Linked DNA regions of Mus musculus. The protein of the gene in region 1 purifies or fractionates together with the protein of each later gene. This does not show direct contact. Links are inferred from orthologs where the notes say so. Each region holds a gene or a part of one and is shown on either strand. Other genes may lie near its edges.

Region 1 (4,635 bases):
AATCTTCAAAGGCAAGTTTGAAGACTCAGGCTTAAGAGGGAAAGCAGAGGCAAAGGTAGAACCCTAGTTGAGCCCACATCCTCACCAATAACTGGAAAGGGTTGTAATACACTTCCTCTTGCTTAAACGGGAAGTATTAGCCCTTTTTACATGAGCACATAGCTTTTCAGTGTTTCTGATCCTGAATAAGTTAGCAGTTGCCTTATTTTTCTTATTCTTTAATGAGTTTTTTTGAGGGGTGGGCTGTTACTATGCAGCTGTGGTGGCCTGCAACTCAAAAGCCTACCTGCCTTTGCATCCAGGGTGCTAGAATTAAAGGCACAGGCCACCATTCCATCTTTTTATTTTTTGGTTTCTCTGTATAGCCTTGGCTGTCCTGGAACTCACTCTGTAGACCAGGCTGGCCTTGAACTCCGAAATCCACCTGTCCCTGCCTCCCAAGTGCTTAGTGGGATTAAAGGTGTGCGCCACCACTGCCCAGCCACCATTCCATCTTAAAGCCCTTTTTTATTTTTCACAATAGTTTTCACGGTGTAGTCCTGGCTGAACTGGGAATCAGTCTGTAGACCATGCTGGTCTTAAACTTGGAGATCTGCTGCCTCTGCCTCTAGAGTGCAGTGAGTAAAGGTTTGGAAGCTTCAAGGCCTTTTTCTAAGTTAGCAACTAAATTGGATGCATAAGACCTTTTTGAGTTATAGAAAGATGGAGTTGCCTCTTGTTGCGTACATTATAGGGTTTCACTGGGAAGCTTAGGACTGAGTCACACCCCTGAGCACAGGTTCAGACATAACACAACAGGTAGAGCTGGCCTAACCAACTCGTCTTGAGGTTGATGTACCCAAGCCTTTTGTCTCTGGGCACAGCTGAGGTGCTTTCCTTCGTCTTCTCCTGAACTTTGTACTTTTCCATCCCAGCCTCAACCTATCTTCACCCCCACAAAAGAAAAAAAGTGATATAGTTCTTGCCTAGTATGTTAGAAGCCCTGGTATTTGCTCTACACTCAGACATGTAAGCACTAATAAAAAGGCCATAAGAAAAAGAGCCCATTGTTTATCCATGGTTTCAGTGATAGTCTTAGGAAACTGTTACTTGGTTCCAGATGGAAGTCTTCATATAAGTGAGGCCCACGTGGCCCCAGGAACAACTAGGTGTTTTGACACCCAGTGCACACAGCAAGGAAATGCATCAATTTTATTTACAGTTCAGAAGCTACTTAAATAGTCTGGACAGAAGCCTGGGATTCAAGTCAGCCCTTACTCCTCCTCATGCCCACAGTCAGCCCAATACTTCCTCCGTTCCATGGGCCAGCACAGGCAGGTGCCACCTCTGCTGTGAGAGGCACCTGGAATAGCTCAGACGCTTGACCATTCCAGCCCAGACAAGAGTCAGGTCCAGCCCCTCTGGGAATTCATCTAATTCCACTGGGCCAGATGAGTGGTGACTCAGTGATGACAACAGCTGTAGAAGTAAGGGTTTGCCTTCTGGCTCAAATCCACACCTTTGTCCTCTGTCAAAGAGAGGAGAGGTGACTGCTCAGCACTACTATTATGTCGGGGCATCAAGTAGGTCACCAAGAAGGCTGGGGACCATGAGGAAGTACACACCTGTCATCACCTGGAAAGCAGCCACACTGACGTAATCCTCAGCCACTTTCTGGAAGAGTTCATCTGGCAAGCAAAGAATCAGTGAGGGCCTGAGACCAGCAGCCCTGGGTATCCCAGTGGCCCAGCCCTCTGAACCTTTCTGCTCTACTGTCCTGCCTGTTCCTGCTGACAGGACCCAAGACAACACTCACCCACACTTTGGCCTGTCTTGCTGGATGTTTCAAAGAGTTGGGCTTTGATATCTGCAAAGAGAAGTGACTGTCTTCACACTTGGGGAGCACACCTAAATGTAGCTAACAGTTCAGTCTCCTGAACCACACAGGTTCAAGAAGGCCAGAAAGCAACCAAGACTGTCATTCCCATCTTTGAAATACACTCAGGCAGATAGTACCCGCCCCCAAGCCCCCATCCTCAGAGACTTAAAAACAGCTACTATCGGCATAGTCCTGAACATCATGGAAGTCTACACGACGGCGCCGCCTGTCTTCCTCCAGCAGGTCACTCTTAGTGCCACACAGGTAGATTTGACAGCCCTGTAGCAGAAGACAAGGCTGAGATTATCTCCACAGACCAATACAGTCTCTGTCCCTACTCTTGTGATATCTGGCCACCTACCTCTTCTAAACTGCGCAGCTCCTTAACCCAGAACTTGGCTCTCTCAAAGCTGCTGCTGTCAGTGAGGTCTTGGTAAGGGTAAGGCAAGAGACACATAAAGATCAGCGGCTTCCCTCTGATGCTGGCCTGTAACCTAACCCTTACTACTTGAACACGCCAGAATTCAACCCCTTACCATAACAGACAATTGCAGCTTTAGCACCCCGGTAATAGATTCTGCTCATGGCTTCGTAGCGCTCGGAACCTGCTGTGTCCTGAGGGGTGAAAGGAGTTAATAAGCTCCTTCACAAGACTACAAAATAGGCCCCATCTTCCAGACAACCCCCCCTCCTTTTTTTAGACGAGTAAATGGGTGTGAGGAAGGAAAAACGACCTCTATGAGGCTCCAGTTGGCTGGTTTAAGAGGCAAGACATTAAATTCGGGAGACAGGTTTGCACAAGACTCTGTTCTCAAGGGACTTACCCAAATGCCCAGAGTCACCGTCCGGTCTCCAACGCACATCACCTTGGCCACGAAAGCAGCCCCGATGGTCTACAACCAGGGAAGAGATAAGTGTGGAATACTGGCCGGACCCCTTCCTCCCATGCCTGCTCCGCAGGGGTGCACTCACGTTCTGATAGGGCCCCACCAAGAAGCGGTCGTGCACGTATCGTTCCACCAGGCTCGTCTTGCCCACGTATTCCTTGCCCAGCATAACCACCTTAACGTCCACGCGCTGCCCGCTCATGCTCCCTGGGCCGCCTCACCCACTTCAGGGTCCGCGCGGCCCAGGCAGAGCCCAAGCCTCAGACCCCAACCCCAAGGGCCTCGCACCTCGCAGGCCCCTGGCGCCTCGGCCCGGGGCGCTCCGTCCTTTGCAGAGCCGCGGCGCGGGGACGCGGACAGCGCCCTCCACCGCGCCGCAGAGCCCTGCGGTGCTCACCCGCGCGACCGCCGCTGCGCCCGAAGCTCCGCTGCGCCGGGGTTACCGACTGAATCTGGGGTCCTCGTAGCTAACTCCAAACAGCACCTCTGGGACTGGAAGCCAAGAGGCGGGACGCCCGGTCACGTGACGCGGGCGCCGGAAGTGGCCGATCCTATGCATCCGGCGCCGGAAGCGTCGTGCAGTCCTATAACCCCTGATGGCGGCGGTAGGGACCTGGGCGCGGTCCTGCGGAGATTGAGCTGCGAGCCTGGCGGGCGTGCGCCTAGCCACGTCCCCCCCACCCCCGGGCTCTTCACCCTGATGCTGCACGGGTGCTGAGCCCGTCCGGGTCGGGACGATGGTGAAGTATTTCCTGGGCCAGAGCGTGCTCCGAAGTTCCTGGGACCAAGTGTTCGCCGCCTTCTGGCAACGGTACCCGAATCCCTATAGGTACGTGGCGTTGGGTAGAGCGAGTCGCCTTCCTCTCTTCTTCTGGAGATCGCACCGTAGGCTGTCCTTCAATAGTGGAGTTTGAAAGACTGGACAGAGTCCGATGTGGGCTATCTGCGGAACTGTGGCCACAGTTATAGCACAAAATCCTTATAGGATTAGAATCAGTCCAAGCCTCCAAAGTCCTCGAAGAAGATTGTCTAGTTTGTGATTTATATTGGGCTCTAGATTTCTATTTTGCAGTCCAAAGGTGGTTGGACAGGAAGAGGCGGCAGCACGGGAGTTGAGCGGTATTTCGGGGCCAGAAATCCTGAGGATGGTTTGCTTACCTGCTGCTGGCGCTCTCTAGTGGTATAATTCTTGAGATTTTGCTCGCTTTGGAGAGCCACAGAATCCATGTCGGGTGGAGGAGGGAGTTGGAATTTGCCCGGGGATAGGTTCAGTGTACTCTAATTCTGAACCCGGGCACAGATCACAGATTGCAGGCAGCCATGACCTGGAGGCGCTAAATAGGAACCAGTAGACATGCTGTCAAGAGCAGGCTCCTGAGAATCATCTTTAACTCTTGCAGCAAACATGTCTTAACCGAAGACATAGTGCACCGGGAGGTGACCCCCGACCAGAAGCTACTGTCCCGGAGACTCCTGACCAAGACCAACAGGATGCCACGTTGGGCAGAGCGACTGTTTCCTGCCAACGTTGCTCACTCCGTGTACATCCTGGAGGACTCTATTGTGGACCCCCAGAATCAGACCATGACCACCTTCACCTGGAACATCAACCATGCCCGGCTGATGGTGAGACTTCCTTTGCTCCCTCAAAATAGTTGCCCTTCAGATTTCAGGCAAGAGAGTTGTGGGAACTTCTGTGGCCAGAGGCAGGCCTAAAATACCAATGAGCTGCATCTCTAGAGTTCTGCCCTTAGATTGGTCTACCCTTTCGATTGGTCAGATTCTCTGGGACTGTCCCTTGGCTCTCAGATGGTGGGGAAAGACACCCCTGTTCTTTTTTTCTTTTTTTTTTTCCCCGAGACAGGGTTTCTCTGTGAAACTCTGGCTCTC
Region 2 (4,635 bases), about 52 Mb from region 1:
TGTCTACAAACTATAGGTTTGGAGGGGGGCGGAGCACTACTACTTTTTTTTTTTCTTTGTCCAGACAGGGTTCCTCTGTGTAGCCCTGGCTGTCCTTAAGTTCTGTCAACCAGACTGGCATCCAACTCAGAGGTCCATCTGTGTCTGTGCCCACCCCTCTTCCCCAAGTGCTGGGATTAAATGTGTGTACCATGACCTCATAGCCTTTAAAGTGATAATTCTCAATGTTAGATAATTACACAGAATCTGCCATTTCTCATAGAAAACTAAAGGTCTTCTTTACTAAAGTAACTTTCAATGCGTGAGGATTAATGTGAAGTTAACTGATAGAAAAGAATGCCAACACCAAGCAACACTAAAGTAACAAGTTTCCTTCACTCAAAGTCCTTGACATAACAATAATATACATTTGGTATACACCCTTTTACTAGGTTCTGAAATCTCCAGCACTAAATGTCTACAAGCCAAACATTAATGCCATGTACATTCTGATATTCAAAGTTACATCTAATTTGTGGCTTTTAACTTTGACTGGGAGTCTCTTCAAGATTTAACCTAACTCAAGATTTCACCCAAGTTCTACTAATGTCATTTCTTATTGTCAACATCATTCTGCTATTACTGTGTCTATTAATGATGGTCCTATGATGATCACAAGCTACACTGATACAATTCTAAAACATTTCCCAGTATAGATCTAGGAAGGCCCAGTGAGAAACAAGGTTAGCATAGCTGTAAGACAGCAGAAACTGTTCTAAATTCTAGTTACTTATGTATCCACTACCCATTAAGAAATTCACAATTCAAGTGAAAATTTAAATAAAGGGTGTTACTTTGTTAAACAGACTGTGCTATCTTTGATACAAAATGATGCTTCTAAACTAGGCCTGTGGAAGCCTGCAGGAAGCCTCTGGGCTCACTTAGCTACACTCAACCCACCCTATTAATGGGCAAATGTGAAGTATTAGCAATGACAATATAAAAGAGAAATAATTGGCTCTCACAATATGCTGGCAGCCACAGGGCCCACTAACAGGCCACCATCACAAACTACTTACTATGCCCGGAACCCCCAATTAGGCACTAAAAAAGGTCAACCTGCAGAGAGCCCTGGGTAGTGATTAATTTAGCCATTCAAGTCTCCCCAACTGACGGGGTTGAGGGTGGGGGGTGGGTGTTCCAATGGCTGGGTGTGACAGTATGTGCCTTTTAATCCAAGCACTGACCAACTACTGGGAAGGCTAGAAGGTAGAAATATCTTTTAAATTCAGGGTCAGCCTGATCTATATAGGGAGTTCCAGTATAGCTAGGCTACAGAGAAAGATCTTGCCTCAAAAAAATAAAAGAAATTCAGTCATTCATTCAAAGTTAAGTAGATGGCCTTGTAGGTGAGCAATGATGTCTATCTCCAGTCTACTCTCTGGGCAGTCACATGTTACTGAGCCTTGAGCAGAACATCTTGGCCTTGCCTTTCATCCCAACACCCAGAAGGCAGGGATAGGCAGAGCTCTGCATTCCTGGACAACCAGAGCTACAAGGTGAGAACTTGTCAGAATTCAATAATCTCTTCTAGCAATCATTCATCACTTCAAAGAGAAAAATAAGCTTTTCCTAAAAGTATTAAAAGAAAAAAAGTAGAATAAAAAATCTTGAAGGTTTTCTCTAAAACAGTTATTTCCGAGTATTTTATCTTAAAGATATTAATTTGATTCTAAGAAATGCCAATGCAAGCTGGGCGGTGGTGGAGGCAGAGACAGGCGAATTTCTGAGTTCGAGGCCAGCCTGGTCTACAAAGTGAGTTCCAGGACAGCCAGGGCTACTTAGAGAAACCCTGTCTCGAGGAAAAAAAAAAAAAAGAAAGAAAGAAATGCCAATGCATTTCAACAAAGTCGAAAGCCGTGGGGCTCTTATTAAATGACTTGGACATTTGATGGATAGACATATGGGATCCATACATCAATGTTCCAGATGAAGTAATTTACCCATAATTTCACATTCAATACCCCCCCCACACACACACACCGCAATTGATATTCAAAATGGTCGGTTCTCTTCCCAACTCCTTTTTGCAAAAGATCAGCCCTTTTGTCACAGTGGGGGGCCGGGGGGAAAGCACAAAGTATAAAAACCTGTCTATATTTTTCCCATATTTAAGCAGATAGATACTGACGAAAACGTACTGGAGCATTAGGGACCGCCTTACATTTACATACCAGTACATTCACACTGCGCATTTATTTTCTAACCTCCCAGAAGTGTAACAAGTACAGAGAACTTAGCCTCCCCCTTCTCAAGAAACTGTGGCGGCACGCAATAAACCAAACAAAAGGGAAGCACGGGCCGGACGTGAAAAGTATTTAACAGACAAGTTTTGAGAAAATTCATTTCCCATTTCAAGCGAGTGGATGAGAGGGCAGTGAAGCAATTAGAAAAAGGGTGTTTGTTTTTTTCCTAAAGAAACTCGTTTCATGATTTTCTCTAGAAACTTAAGTTGGCCAAACTCTAGGACAAATTATCGATCAGCGATCATCCTTCTGTTTGGCTTTCTGCGCCCTGAGACTAGCTGAGTAAGCTGCTGCTGCTGCTGCTGCTGCTGCTACTCGCCACTTACATAGGAAGTGCAGGCGCCAGCAGCGACTCCCTCCCGCTCGGTCCAGGGCTTGCCTGCTTCCAAGCGGGAGAGGTCATTCACCCAAAGGGGAAGTGCAAGGAGCACAAGCTGTTTTCCCGGTCCTCTTCCTTCCTGCAGGAGGACGAGGCTGTCTCTCTCCGGCTGCTGGGCGGTTCTGCCCTCAACTTCCCAATGGGCAGGCTTCCCACGGACACGTCCCGGCTTCCACATCCTGGTTTTCCCTAACACACTACCGACGCCTTCAAATCACTGCATCCCAACAAGCCACGACCTCCCTATCCCAGACTCAACGCGGGCGAGTGGGGACGGCCCCCAAGGGGGCGCAGACACCGGCAGTTCGGGCGCGGGCGAGGCTCGTGCACACCGATGGGACCCGCCCTCGCCCCCGGGCCCGGCGGAGGCCGGCCGGCCGCGTCTCCCCGCAGCCCGCCGCAGCTCACCGTCAGGCCGGTGCCCAGCACGATCACGTCGTATTCCTCATTCATGGCGGGGAAAGGAGCGCACGCGGGGGCTCGGAGGCCGCCGTAGAGAAGGGAGCGAGAAGTCCGGCCGCTCTGGGCCCCGGGGGTCGGGGGGAAAGGGAAAAAGCGAGGAGAGGAAAAACGGAGCTGAGGAGGAGGAGAGGCCGGCCGCCACCTCAACGGGAAGAGAAGAGCAGGGAGGGGAGGGAGGGGAGGCGGGGAGAGCGCGGGGTGAGGAGAGCGAGCTCCGGCGCCGGGGCGGGGCGTGCGAGAGGCCGACGGCGCCGTCAGTCAAGGGGATCCTGCTCTCTCATTGGTGAATTTCCTTAACCCCACCTCTCCCCCCCTCGTTCCCCTCTCGCGAGAGAAGGGCGGACTGCTGCCATCTTGGCTTCCGGTTTTGCGCTTTTTTTTTTTTTTTTTTTTTAAATTTCACCCGTCTTGTGCTCCTGTGGTATGGGCGGCGACATGCGAAGCTGAGGGTCTAGTTGAATAGGAGGAACAAGGCGGAAACTGCAGCTGGGCTACCACGTGCCTGACTCTCGCGCCAAGGTGTGAGATGGAGCACGGTTGTTTAGGCTTCGGGCCACGGAGCCCAAGCTCCGCCCTTGGGACTTTGAGAGGTGTACGTGCATCGCCCTGGCCGAGCGGGGCCAAGTCGTGAGGACGCCAGCCTCTCCGAAGGTTGGCAGCCTCGTTGCCTCTGCAGCTTGGCTCCTGGCCCTGCCCCTGCCCCTGCCCGCGCGGGGCTGGGAAGACCTCAGGATTCTGTGTGCCCTGCTTTAAACTTGTATGGTTCTGTTCGAACAAATAAATGTGTTCTAAACTGGTATCCATGCTTTAGGTAAAATGTGGTCCAGAATGGCTTTCCTATATAATGCTCCGCATTCTAGCTTGTGATGCAAAGCAGGTTATAAATTTAAGAGTTGATAACCCTGGTACCCAAGCAACTGGGCTTCAACTAGTCTCTCAGGCTGAAGGCTGCCAAAATGTGCTTATAAAGGCAAATGCTGAATTGCACTATATTTTGTATGTTTGCTGTGTTTCAGCCTCTACATGCAATTACCACACTAGAGGTGGGGCTTCTGAACCATCTTTGGTGTGCTGCCTGGTTCTGGATCCTGATCCTTGTTAAAACTTTGTTGAATCTAATTAATTTCAGAGTTGTTTTGTTTTGTTTGGACAACAGAATTGTCAGGGTGCAAAGTAGACCTTCCAGTAACCCTCAGGACCATTAAAGCAACATTTGCAGGCCCCTTGGACATCAAGCTCCACTGGCTTTGAACTAGCTGTGCTGTGCCTCGGCCCTTAGCACACACCTTTAATCTTGCTGGAATACAGGCACACCCTAAGTGCACACCTTTGATTCCAAAGGTAAAACTAGTTTATTAGAAGGAAGCACCCATGTTTAACAGTGATGTCTAATTGAGTGGCTTGACTGAATCAGAGAAAGGTTTGCCAGGTTATACCCAGCTCTCAAAAGAGAGAGGGAAGGGAAGCTATTTAAGAGGCAGTACAGAAGAGGAGGAGGAAGCAGTTTTA
Region 3 (4,536 bases), on another chromosome or scaffold:
CTCACCTACAAAGACACCAGCCAACCTTCCCACCACCCTTTGTGACCTGGCAAAGATGTGGGTCAAATGGAGAGGGACTGAAATGGAACAGGTGAGTCTGGAGCTGAGCACAAGAGACATGCAGGGTGGGCAGTAGGTACAATAGGCAGGTGTGGGGAGGGCAAGGTGTGAGCCAGAGAAGGGGCTCCCATCACCAGCCAGCTTTCCCCTCACTCATCAGTGCGGTAGAGCGCCAAGGCATGGCCAGTGAAATCTATGACATCTTGACCCAGGTCAAACTTCCGGTAGACATCACGCATGCTGGTGTTCTGGGGATCAACACCCTCAAAGGTTTTGGGGTCATTCTCATCAAAGTTTGCCACAAACACCAAAAATTTTCGGAAGCGTCGTTTTTCAAACATGCCCATCAGATCTGAAAGAAAGGTATTGAGAAGACCCTTAGCATTACTGGGACATAGAACTCCTCTTTCCACCAGAGCAGGCCAAGAAAGCTGGTTGTATGTAATGTAGAGTATTGGCTCCCACCAATACTCTATCATGTAACACTACCCCACCCTTCTTGATCTCAATTTTCTTTTTGTAGGAAGAAACCCTTCTAGTTCCACGTAGGGATGCTACAGGGCAAGTAGGCCCTCTGACAAAAAGGAATCCTGTTCTGTGAACTTTCTGGCAACTTGCCAGGATGGGTAGCACTGTCCAATCAATACACTATAAAGTAAGGGTCCTCTAGGACTACACAGAGCTAAGATTAGTTTCAGGCAAAGATGAGCCTTTTGCCTAACTGTCCTGAAAATAGTCTGTCTCATCCAGCCCCATTATTCTCTGGTTAAGGAGACTCATACTCACTAGAAGCCAAGGCCTCAGTCTCGGTGGATGGCACTTTGTAGATCTTGCCCCCCTTATATACAAAGCTGCCCTCTACCACCTTGAAGTCCAGATATCGAGTCACTTCTGTATATAGTAGCATCTTTACCAGCTGACCTGTGTCCAGAGGAAATAAGGGACATTGTTGTGTTTTCCTTCAAAAACTCTCAGTAGTCTGACTGACCATATTCTTGAGATTGACCAATCTCTCCCCACTCCGTCTTCCCACTCACCACCCCCAAAACCATATACAGCATCTTTTTAATCTCTCTCACCATTGGCCATGAGGAATTTGGGGATCAAGTCAACATTCCAGTCTCGGCCCCGGCCCATTGATTCAGGGGGCCCTTCCAGTATCTGAAAGCGCTTATATAGCTGTAAGCAGGACAGGAAAGAAAGAAAAATGTCAAGGACCTGTCGCCCTTTCCCACTCTCCTGCCCAGTACCTGAGAATTACTTCGCCCCCTTATACCTATGTGGAAGACTAACAAGGATCTGGGTCTAAGCCCAGGTCTAAGAATAAGAAATCTTACCTCCTCCAGGGGTGTGATGGAAGAGCTCTCACCCCCATAGTAGGGGTTTCGGTCCATGTGCAGCACCTTCTTTCCATTCACAGACATGATGCCAGACAGGATGCATTCCTGGGGAAGGAGTGACATTTGCAGCTATACCCCATAACCCTCCAACTTGCTTCATGCCCACCACCAATTTTATAATGCAGCTCTTTTCAGTGCCTAAAACTGGGGAGGAGAAGATGGCTTCATATGATGTTTCCTTTACAACCCTGCTGAGTAAACTACTGGAGCATTAAAGGAGGTTTGGGGGGCAGAGCTTTCAGCTTCCAAGTCTTCCAGCATCAACAAGCCAAGAGAAGTATCTACTTCTCTGAGCCCACAAAAAGACAATGAGTCTACAAGAAGAACCAATTCAAAGGACCTTTGAAAGAGAAGGCCAAGTCCTTGAAATCCCAGGCCCCACCCTGCTCCTCCTTCAAAGGGCAGGAGCCCCTGACTCTCTTCTGGCCCTATCCACTGGTCTAGACTCAGGGTTCAAACTAAAAAGATTTAGGCCGGGGGTGGGGGTTGGGGGGGGCGGGGGCAGGGAAGAGACAAACACCCTCACCAGTCAGTCACTAACCCAAGGACAAAGGCTGAGGATATATATTCAGTCTGAGATCTCCATGGGAAACCAAGTTGGGGCAGAGGTAAAGTGGTCACTACCCCCCCCCCACACCCCCCACACACACACTCCTGCTGTCTCTGGAACATTCCATGGGTTTCCTATCCCATCCCAAAAAGCAGAAAAGCATGATGAGGGCCCACCCTTGTAATGTCCCCATACCCATCTTCATATTCCATCCCCTAGTTTGATCACAAGATGGTAAGGGATGCTAATCAAGGCCTTGGAGCAGGTGATGAGTTCAGGCAAAGGGTGGGGGCTGGGTGCAATGGTTCCACTGTGTGTGTGGGGGGGTGAGTTTTCCACCTCGGTGATAGAGATAGGGAAGAATAGGGGTCTGAGGTTAAGTACTAGAGTGCAGGAACACAGGACAAAGTGGGGCCCTCTACAGAGAATTGGGAACTGGAATCGACATCCTAGGGTGAGGTAGTGGGTTGGGCATGGGGTTGGTTTTCCCAGGGCTGGAGCTAGGATGATGGGAGGATGGATCGGATACCGGACTCTGCATCAATGCGGGATGGAGTGGGGTGGGGAGGGATGGCGTGGGGTGGGGAGGGATGGCATGATGCAGGGCTATGAGAGCCTGAAGTGGCACTTACGGTAAGACCTGTCCCCAGCACAATCACATCGTATTCCTCATCCATGATCAGGCCTTGGTACCAGCGTCCGCTCTGCTCCTCCTCCTTCACCACAGCAGCCGCTACCACTACCTCTACTATTGCTACTGCTGCTACTGCCGCTGCTGCTGCTGCCCCTGCCGCTGCTTCTGTCACTGCCGCCGCACTGAACCAAAGATGGCGTCTGTCGGTTGTCTCCTGATCCCTACGCAGCGTTAATGAGTCCCTCTCTCTCTCCGCTGGCCCCGCCCCGCCCAACCAGTCATCATTTCCTTGCTTGTTTTCTGGGAGGGCTTCTGTCACCTGGGTCCCAGCACCAGAATGACTGCAGGGGTTATCGGGGCTCTTCGTGAGCCCAGAAAAATACGGGGCGGGGCAGGCCGGCAGCAGGTGCTGAGTCCTCCGAAAGATCCTTGCGCGGGAGCCGCGCGCGCCCCGCCCCGCCCCGCGCGCTCCCGTACCGCCCCCTGGGAGAAACACAAGGTATGGAAGCCCTGCTGTGTGTTGTTGCACAGTAGCGGAGCTACCATTGTCAGGATTCCTCCCAAGGCCAGGAAAAGTAACAAGCCTCTACTCTAAGTAGGTTTGTTAAGAGTATCAGCTTACTGAAGACCCTCCCACCCTTCCTCTCTCACCTCTTGCATGACTGGACTACATCTGAGCACTTCTTCCCTTCAGTCAAGAAAAAAAAATCTACTGTTCAGTGCAGAAATGAGTGACACGAAGCCCAACACAAGGCAACACGTCTTTATTTTATTAGGAAGGAAACAACAGAGCAACCCCCCACACACACCTCCGGCCTCTTGACAGGCAGTCTTTATGGGAATAATCCAGAAACCCAGTGAGCACACTTTGTTCACCAATCCTCGTGATGGTTTCTTCCTTCCCAGGCCACAGAAATAAACCCCAGTGTACCACTCACTCTTAACACATCACCCCTCCCCCCCAAAAAACATAACAGCTAAGCTGGACAGACAGTCAAGTAGTCTTTCCACACCTCGCAAATTCAAGGAACCTCAAGTTCATGGCTGTTGCTGGAAGCTCCATAAAGCTTGGGGAGTGAGCATTTACTACACAAAAGCACTATAAACAGCAAGGAATAATAGCAGAGGGGCAAGAATAAATAAGGAGAGAGGGTAAAGGGGAGACCCTAGAATTAAGGTCCCTTCCCCTCTTGATGATGAAGCCTGGAAGATTTATCTAATATCTATGAAGAATACACTTTGTTGGTAGAGATGGGGGATAGCCACAGGGGAGTCCCTCTCCGGGTTAAAGAGGAAGCAAGAGAGACTGAGGGTGGCGTATGTAGGGTTCATGCTATAGTAGGAAGAGGACAAACCTTTCCATCCACTGTGTCACAAAACAGAAACATGACAACCTAGACACCAATACTCCCTCAATTCCTCTCAGGTGTATGTCACACAATCTGGGTCAAAGTGATGGTGGGGCCCTTGTGGTCATCAAAGCGATCCATGGTCTTTAGGCTGAGTATCATGTGCAGACCATAGGTGAATATGAAAAGCATGAAGAGGGTGGTGAGCAGACCCATCCAGATGCCCGGAGAGAAGAAACCAGCACAGTCGCTAGCATAGGAGAACTGTTCACCAGTCACATTGAAGGCCTGGATCTAGGAGACACATTGACATGGATCAGATGGTTCCACAAGGTTCCACACACAGTAAGAGCTGGGATTCTGGAATCAATGAATAATCTATACCTTCAGAGACTGCACAAGGCTGGAACTCTCAGCTACATGCTCAAACCATACTGAGATTCTCTGGGCCCTTCTTCCCTCCCCTTACTGCCACCAGCTTGGGGCCCATCACCCTTTCAATACCTGGAAGTTATGAAGAGTCATCTGCCAGACTGAGGGCAC

The links.
Region 2: the proteins of Rab24 (region 1) and Gdi2 purify together in Homo sapiens (affinity purification with mass spectrometry; 3 studies listed by BioGRID and IntAct, with this or other methods). This does not show direct contact. The link is inferred for Mus musculus from reciprocal best matches to the Homo sapiens genes RAB24 and GDI2.
Region 3: the proteins of Rab24 (region 1) and Gdi1 purify together in Homo sapiens (affinity purification with mass spectrometry; 3 studies listed by BioGRID and IntAct, counting the BioPlex papers as one, with this or other methods). This does not show direct contact. The link is inferred for Mus musculus from reciprocal best matches to the Homo sapiens genes RAB24 and GDI1.

Annotation. Positions count from the first base shown.
Region 1 is NC_000079.6:55,318,708-55,323,342, forward strand, and holds Rab24 (ras-related protein Rab-24), read right to left. Parts: upstream 3,274-4,635; 5' UTR 2,948-3,273; coding exon 2,831-2,947; intron 2,752-2,830; coding exon 2,683-2,751; intron 2,474-2,682; coding exon 2,395-2,473; intron 2,288-2,394; coding exon 2,220-2,287; intron 2,138-2,219; coding exon 2,038-2,137; intron 1,847-2,037; coding exon 1,796-1,846; intron 1,668-1,795; coding exon 1,605-1,667; intron 1,530-1,604; coding exon of another isoform or gene 1,508-1,529; coding exon 1,443-1,507; coding exon of another isoform or gene 1,276-1,442; 3' UTR 516-1,275; downstream 1-515. Other genes in the region: Prelid1 (PRELI domain-containing protein 1, mitochondrial precursor), read left to right, coding at 3,483-3,574, 4,146-4,371.
Region 2 is NC_000079.6:3,536,781-3,541,415, reverse strand, and holds the start of Gdi2 (rab GDP dissociation inhibitor beta), read right to left. Parts: upstream 3,342-4,635; 5' UTR 3,118-3,341; coding exon 3,073-3,117; intron 1-3,072. UniProt on the Homo sapiens protein: GDP-dissociation inhibitor preventing the GDP to GTP exchange of most Rab proteins. By keeping these small GTPases in their inactive GDP-bound form regulates intracellular membrane trafficking.
Region 3 is NC_000086.7:74,303,548-74,308,083, reverse strand, and holds the start of Gdi1 (rab GDP dissociation inhibitor alpha), read right to left. Parts: upstream 3,073-4,536; 5' UTR 2,688-3,072; coding exon 2,643-2,687; intron 1,506-2,642; coding exon 1,398-1,505; intron 1,240-1,397; coding exon 1,140-1,239; intron 982-1,139; coding exon 847-981; intron 413-846; coding exon 214-412; intron 1-213. Other genes in the region: Atp6ap1 (V-type proton ATPase subunit S1 isoform 1 precursor), read right to left, coding at 4,078-4,287, 4,498-4,536. UniProt on the Homo sapiens protein: Regulates the GDP/GTP exchange reaction of most Rab proteins by inhibiting the dissociation of GDP from them, and the subsequent binding of GTP to them. Promotes the dissociation of GDP-bound Rab proteins from the membrane and inhibits their activation.